2 linked regions of the Macaca mulatta genome follow. The protein of the gene in region 2 purifies or fractionates together with the protein of the main gene of each other region. This does not show direct contact. Links are inferred from orthologs where the notes say so. Each region holds a gene or a part of one and is shown on either strand. Other genes may lie near its edges. The genes, in order: CBX1 and AHDC1.

The links.
Region 1: the proteins of AHDC1 (region 2) and CBX1 purify together in Homo sapiens (affinity purification with mass spectrometry; 4 studies listed by BioGRID and IntAct, with this or other methods). This does not show direct contact. The link is inferred for Macaca mulatta from reciprocal best matches to the Homo sapiens genes AHDC1 and CBX1.

What each region holds. Positions count from the first base shown.
Region 1 is NC_133421.1:61,945,298-61,949,105, reverse strand, and holds part of CBX1 (chromobox protein homolog 1), read right to left. Parts: intron 2,224-3,808; coding exon 2,047-2,223; intron 1,365-2,046; coding exon 1,187-1,364; intron 1-1,186. UniProt on the Homo sapiens protein: Component of heterochromatin. Recognizes and binds histone H3 tails methylated at 'Lys-9', leading to epigenetic repression. Interaction with lamin B receptor (LBR) can contribute to the association of the heterochromatin with the inner nuclear membrane.
Region 2 is NC_133406.1:213,394,861-213,398,668, reverse strand, and holds part of AHDC1 (transcription factor Gibbin), read right to left. Parts: intron 3,306-3,808; 5' UTR 3,232-3,305; coding exon 1-3,231. UniProt on the Homo sapiens protein: Transcription factor required for the proper patterning of the epidermis, which plays a key role in early epithelial morphogenesis. Directly binds promoter and enhancer regions and acts by maintaining local enhancer-promoter chromatin architecture.

The sequences.
Region 1 (3,808 bases), on a different chromosome or scaffold from region 2:
TATATGGGACTATTATCTAGACTTGGAACTATTCCTGTGTCTCTGATTAATGTAATCATAAACTCTTCTCTTTTTTTTTTTGAGACGGAATCTCTGTTGCCCAGGATGGAGTGCAGTGGTGCGATCTCAGCTCACTGCAGCCTCTGCCTCCTGGGTTCAAGTAATTCTCCTGCCTCAGCCTCCTGAGGAGCTGGGACCACAGGCGCATGCCACCACACCTGGCTAATTTTTTGTATTTTTAGTAGAGACGGGGATTCACCATTTAGTCAGGATGGTCTTAATCTCCTGACCTTGTGATTCGCCCGCCTCAGCCTCCCAAGGGGCTGGGATTATAGGTGTGAGCCACTGTGCCCGGCCCAAACACAAACTTTTTTGCCAATATTTCACCAATACCTTGGCTCAAAGTAAGAGAGCTGTTAGAATTCTTTGGAGTGATTATTCATCAATGTCTGAAGCGCATGAGATTTTCCCATATGTGAAAAGGGACATACAGCCCAAGCAAAATCAATGTTTACACCTATCTCTTCACTCTCAAAAAACAACTTACTTTAAGGTACGTACTGATTAAGTCAAAATAGCTACCTCACACCTTTAATGATTAAACATTGAAAACCGTTTTTTACAAGAATGAATTCACTTGCCCTTTTATCTGTCCCCAGCAAGTATCCCATTTACTGCTCCTGTACCATGGATAAAAAGTAAGAGACTGGCTGGGCGCAGTGGCTCAAGCCTGTAATCCCAGCACTTTGGGAGGCCGAGACGGGCGGATCATGAGGTCAGGAGATCGAGACCATCCTGGCGAACACGGTGAAACCCCGTCTCTACTAAAAAGTACAAAAAAACTAGCTGGGCGAGGTGGCGGGCGCCTGTAGTCCCAGCTACTCGGGAGGCTGAGGCAGGAGAATGGCGTAAACCCAGGAGGTGGAGCTTGCAGTGAGCTGAGATCCGGCCACTGCACTCCAGCCTGGGCGACAGAGCGAGACTCCGTCTCAAACAAACAAACAAACAAAAAAGTAAGAGATCATGTGGCTTCATGAGAGTACACTCTCACTTTGTAGGCATTAGCCTACCTAAGATGTCAGAACTAAGAAGAGATGGCTGCTAATATCTGGGAAGAAGCAAAACAAAACTACTTTGACAGTGGTTTGAATTGTGGGCCAGTAAAAATTCTTACTTCTATCCTTACCTCTTCTTTCTTCTTCTTTGGTTTGCTCTCCTCTCCCTTATCTTCAGAATCAGAATCAGCTTTGCGCTTGCCTCCCTCTGATTTATCTGTCTCATGTGCTGTTTTCTGTGACTGCAGAAACTCAGCAATGAGGTCGGGGCAATCCAGGTTTTCTTCTGGCTCCCATGTGTTGTCCTCACTGAAACCAGAGGGCACAGCAAGTCACACTTTCACTCAAAATAAGTATAATCATACTAAGGATAATCGTAAGAGGACAAGAGCTCAGACGTCCATGGAAAAGCTGAAATTTCTTGGGGAATGGGGAGGCTTTCTAGTATAAATAGAAAGCTAAGAAACTGGCTTCCTTCAAAGGCAAATGACTTTTATTTGTCAATTTAAATCGGTCTATAGCCACACACAATATTTCTCAGAAATCACTATGGGCTGGGTACAGTGGCTCACGCCTGTAGTCCCAACACTTTGGGAGGCCCAGGTGGGAGGACTGCTTGAGGCCAGGAGTTAGACAAACCTGGGCAACTAAGTGAGACATGGTGGTGCATGCCTGTGGTACTAGCTACTTAGAAGGCTGAGGTGGGAGGATACCTTGAGCCTGGGAGGTTGAGGCTGCAGCGAGCTATGACTGCACCACTGTACTCCAGCCTGGGTGACAGAGCGAGACCTTGTCTCAAAAGAAAGAACTTTAAAAAAGAAGTCATTCTGCTCTGTATAACAAGCAGTAGGCCATGTTCCTAATTAAACAATAAGCCATGAAGGTGGGGACTGAGTCACACAGTTTCCATCACAGCACTGGAGGTCTCATACATCTCTAGACTCCTGATAAACACCTGGTGGCTACATTTACTTGTGTCAGTGAAACTTACTCTGAGAACCCCTTCCATTTTAGGAGGTACTCCACTTTGCCCTTTACCACTCGACGGTCGAGAACTTTTTCCACCACATATTCCTCTTCCTCCTCTTCTAGCACCTCCTCCACTTTCTTCTTGTTTTGTTTTTTCCCCATAGTGCCCGCCAGCTTTCTGGTGTAAAGGGTGACGCTGCTAAAATGATAAATGAAATAAAAAGGGAATTAGGGAGCACTCTTATTGGTTAGATAATATCTGGATGGTAAGAAAACCAGAGACATGACAGGTGATAATATTATATGCTGCTTACAATAAGTGTGAGGCCTATTCTCACATTCGATACACAATAGTTTTCTGATATGTGCAGTCAGAAAGCTCATAAAACAGCCCCAATTAATCTTACAGCGAAACTTCTTTTTGAGAGACGGAGTCTTGCTTTGTTGCACAGGCTGGAGTGCAGTGGCACAATCTCGGCTCACCGCAACCTCTGCCTTCTGGGTTCAAGTGATTCTCCTGCCTCAGCTTCCCAAGCAGCTGGAACTGCAGGCATGTGCCACCAAGCCCAGCTAATTTTTGTATTTGTTTTTTTTTAGTAGAGACGGGACTTCACTACATGTTGGCCAGGCTGGTCTCGAACTCCTGACCTCAGGTGATCCGCCTGCTTCGGCCTCCCAAAGTGTTGGAATTACAGGTGTGAGCCACTGCGCCTGGCCTTCACAGCAAACTTCTTTATTCTTGTGTATCCATTTACAACTTTTATACCCATTCTTTGTCATTTAAAAAGGCTCCCAATACTCCTTTTACCATAAAGCATGGTAGCTAGGGCCACGCATGCAGGCTCACATCTGCAATCCCAGCATTTTGGAAGGCCGAAGTGGGAGAATTCCTGGAGCCCAGGAGTGTGTGACCAGCCTAGGCAACATAGCAAGACCCCATCTCCACACACACAAAAAATCTGTAAAAGAGCATGGTAGCTAAAATATTGCATTAAACTCAAAGAAGGCCGGGCGCAGCGGCTCACACCTGTAATTCTAGCACTTTGGGAGGCGGAGGCGGGCAGATGGCCTGAGGTCAGGGGTTCAAGACCAGCCTGGCCAACATGGCAAGACCCTGTCCCTACTAAAAATACAAAAATTAGCCAGTCATGAGCCAGGATCGCATGACTGTACTCCAGCCTGGGCAACAGAGTGAGACTCCTGACCTCGTGATTCGCCTGCCCTGGCCTTCCAAAGTGCTGGGATTAGAGGCGTGAATGACCCTGCCCGGCCCTTTTTTTTTTTTTTTTTTCTTTTAAGACGGAGTCTCACGCCAGCCCAGGCTGGAGTGCAATGGCACAATCTCGGCTCACTGCAACCTCCGCCTCCTGGGTTCAAGTGATTCTCCTGCCTCAGCCTCATGAGTAGCTGGGACTACAGGTGTGAGCCACCATGCCCAGCTAATTTTTGTATTTTTAGTAAAGACAGGGTTTCACCACGTTGGTCAGGCTGCCAGGCTGGTCTTGAACTCCTGACTTCGTGATTCGCCCATGGTGGCCTTCCAAAGTGCTGGGATTACAGGCATGAGCCACCAAGCCCCGCCCCACCCCACCCCCCTTTTTTTGAGACGGAGTCTCACTCCAGCCAGGCTGGAGTGCAGTGGCACAGTCTTGGCTCACTGCAACCTCCGCCACCCGGGTTCAAGTGATTCTTCTGCCTCAGCCTTCTGAGTAGCTGGGACTACAGGTGTGTGCCACCATGCCCAGCTAGTTTTTGTATTTTTAGTAGAGACAGGGTTTTGCCAT
Region 2 (3,808 bases):
AGAGGCTGTGGTGCCCTTGGGCACCATGTAGCCACCAGGCGAGACTGTGCTGGCCCGGCTGTCACAGCGCAGGGGCGTGGGGGCTGAACCAGAGAAGGGGGCCCCCTCAGAGCTGTTGAAGAAGGAGGCCTTGCTTGGTGGCAGGCAGGGGCCCCCGGTAGGCGGTGGGGCATAGCCGGCGCTGTGGGCGCTGCTGGGTGAGGCAGGGAGGCTGTTGCCACTGCCATAGGCAAAGCTGCAGTCCTTGCTGTTAGCGCAGTCCTGGCCTGTAAAGGGTTTAGCCGGGGCAAATACGCTTTGTCCAGCCCCGTAGCCGCCATACTGGGACAGGTAGGTGTTGGCAGGCGGGTGGGTGGTAGGTGAGCGGGCCACGGCTGAGGGCGGGGGAGCCAGCTTGGGGAAGGTCTCCGCTGCCCGGCAGTCTGAAGTGGCCGGAGTTAGCCCATAGCTCGCTGCCCGTCCTGGTGGGAAGGTCTGGCGCGTGGGCAGGACAGGCTGGAAGGAGGTGTCCGCCCCAGCCCCACCACTACCCACTGCCACTGGGCTGGCCTTGGCTCCCCGGCTAGGGAAGGTGGCAAGGCCCCGCTGGGCAGGTAGGGCGCTGGTGGGTGGCCCTGCATAGGTGCCTGATGCCTTCCGGGACTCTGGGCGAGAGGCTGAGAGGGCAAAGTCCAAGAGATCGGAGGAGTCATCCGAATCGAGCAGCGAGCGAAAGTAGCCGGTGAAGAGGTTTTGGCGCTCCTGGCTGAGCTCGGTCTGGCCTGAGGGTGCGCCCGTGCTGTAGTAGCTGCCACGGCCTGAGGCTCCGCTCTCCAGCCCAGTGGAGGCAAAGGCCCGGGCCTCGGTCCCCTGAAACCCACAGTTTCGGCCAGCTTGCCCGCCTGGGTGCCCATGGTGAGGGGCCCAGCCACCACCCTTATCTCCGGCCCACTCGGCACCCGCCTCCCCAAAGCCTGGGCCACTGGGCACCTGCTCTGGGAACAGAGTCCCATTCTTCCGGGACCGTCTCTTGCGCTTTGGCTTCCCAGTCACAGCGTCTACCTCCCCCCGGCCCCGTTTGCGTGGGTGCCCCAACTCGGTAAGGCCAGGGCCCCCCACCCCAGCGGCTGCCACGGCCACCACCTTCTTTTTCTTGCCAATGCCCTCAAAGAAGTCACTGAAGGAGCATCGGGCTGACTTGGCCGCATGGCCCCCACCCCGGCCACCAAAACCACCTGCTTTGCCCCCACGCCGCCGGAAGCCCTGCACACGATGCAGGAAGTGGGAGATGCTCTGGGTGTCAGGGGCCTGGTGCACTGACTCCGGCTCACTGGGTGTCCAGCAGCGGGGTGGCGAGCACCGTCCAGCGCACTGGCTCTGGCGGTTCAGAAAGGCCAGCTTGGCCAGGACGTCTGAGTACTCAGCCTTGCTGTCGTTGGCATCTGCCGCATAGGACGGTTGGGGAGACGCCAGCTTCTGCTTCCGCCGCCGTCGTTTCTTCACCTCTGGCATGGCCATGGTGGCTGCTGCCACAGTGGCTGCCTCGGCCGCCACCACAGCTGGCTCCTTGGGCTTGCCAGGACCCAGCAGCAGGTTCTTAGGAGGGCGGCCGCGCTTACGCTTAAGAATAATGGGCATCTCACCGGGTGGGAAGACCACTACCACGTTCCGCCCGTTGTTCTTCATCTTCAGCAGCGGGGTGGGCTCAGCTGACACACGCAGGCCTAGCTCCTTGCCCTCCACACTCAGGCTGCTGCTCAAGGAAGACACTTTGTATGTGGTCTTGTTCCGTCGCCCGAGCGATACGGGGATCTTGGCCATCTTCACCACCATGCGCCGCACGCCTCGGCACTTGCCTTTGCGGGTAGAGACCACTGGGGTCTGGGAAGATTCTGGCTTCAATTCTGGGACTGAGACCAGGCCTGGGCCTGGCAGGGCAGGGGGTGGAGGCGGCGGTGGCGGTGGGGGTTCGGCCAGGGCGGCTGCCAGCCCCGTGGGCATAGGCAGGGGCAGTAGGCGGCCCTCAGGTCCGGCGTCCGCCTTGCGCCCCCGTCCGGCTTTCCGCCGGCGACACAGGATCTTTGGCCTATCAGTACGCCGCAAGGCGTACTTGGGGTGACCCTCAGGCCCGGGGGGGCCGTGCGGTGAGCACAAGTCCAGGCGCAAGGGCTCGGCCAGTGGGCAGTGCCCCAGGGGCTGCTGGGGCTCCAGACGGCGACCTGGGACGTCAAGCAGCTTGGGCAGGGGGTCGAGTGCCTGGGGGTCAAGCAGCTGCGACTCCAAGGAGTCAGGCAGGGTGTCCAGGGCCTGGAGAGCCAGGCCCGGCAGCCCCAGAGGATCAGCAAGAGGTTGCAGGGGTGGCAGCTCCAGAGCTTCCCCGAGCGGCTCTAGTGCCTGCGGGTCCAGGAAGCGGGGCTGGGGGTCCAGGAGCTGAGGCTCTGGCTCAGGAGATGGTGGCTCGAGGGCCTGGGCCTCTAGCAGCTGGGCCTCTGGGCAAGTGAGGGAGGCCAGCTCACTAAGGATGTCAGCGTCAGCAAGTTCTGAGTAATCAGTGCTGTCTGGCTCAGGCTCTGGGGGCAGACCCGTGGCCACAGCCGTGGCTCCAGGACTATGGCCTTGGCCAGGCTGGGGACTATCCCTAGGCTCAGGCTCAGGCTCGTAGAGGGGGTGGCTGGGCCGCTCTGACTTGGCGTGTGGGGTGGCTCGCTCCTCAGGGCTACGGATGCTGTTGGCCAAACTGGGTGAGGAGAAGAAGCTGTACTGTAGGTCGCCGGGTGGCGGTGCAGGCGGGCGGCTCAGTCGGAGCCCACCACAGTCCAGGTGTACACCACTGTGCTGCAGGTCCTGGGAGAGGCGTGTCAGGTCCTTCATGATGTCAATCAGCTGCACCACTGGTCGCAGGTTCACCCGCCCGTTGTCCCAGCAGCGTCGGGAGCTGCTGCCGTCTCCGGCCGGTGTGGGGCAGCGGGCCTGTGAGACAGGACGGGCTGCCCGTGGGGGCAGCGGGTCGTCCCCCTTGGCAAGGACTGGTGGGCGCCGGGTGCTGGGGTCCCGGCGTGGGGGTGGGCGTGGGTTCTCGGAGAAGGCGTGGGTGGAGAAGGCCTTGTCGGGTGGGCTGGCAGGGGGCCGGGTGGGAAGCAGGGGCCGGGGGGTGGGGGGGCCGCCGGGGTAGTACTTGGGCTCCCGGAGGTAGTCAGGAGAGCTGCACACGGCACTGGAAGTCACCACCAGGCCCTGGGGCTTCACACGCATCCTGACCTTGTCCTCCGCAGGCCGCCGGGCGGGGCCGGGGCTGACATGAGGGTGCGAGAAGCCGGGACCAGGACCTGCCAGGCAGGAAGAGCAGGAGGTCCCTTACTGAACACCTACATCCTCATCAGCTTCCCATATCCTCGATGAGCTCCTGGACCCCTCCCTCCTGAGGTCTCATCTCCTTACCAAGCTCCCATCCCCACCCCAAGCCCAATCCCCTTGCTGACTCCCAGCCTTTCTCAAACCACCATATGTACAGCAAGCCCCTCATGGGCCCCAGTTTCACTTTTTTTTTTTTTTGAAAGAGAGTCTCACTCTGTCACCCAGGCTAGAGTGAAGTAGTGTGATCTCAGCTCACTGCAACCTCTGCCTCCTAGTGCAAGCGATTCTTAGGTGTCAGCCTCCCTAGTACCTGGGATTACAGGCACGCGCCACCACGCCTGGCTAATTTTTGTATTTTAGTAGAGTCGGGGTTTCACCATGTTGGCCAGGCTGGTCTTGAGCTCCTGACCACAGATGATCCACTCGCCTTGGCCTCCCAAAGTACTGGGATTACAGGCGTGAGCCACCATGCCTG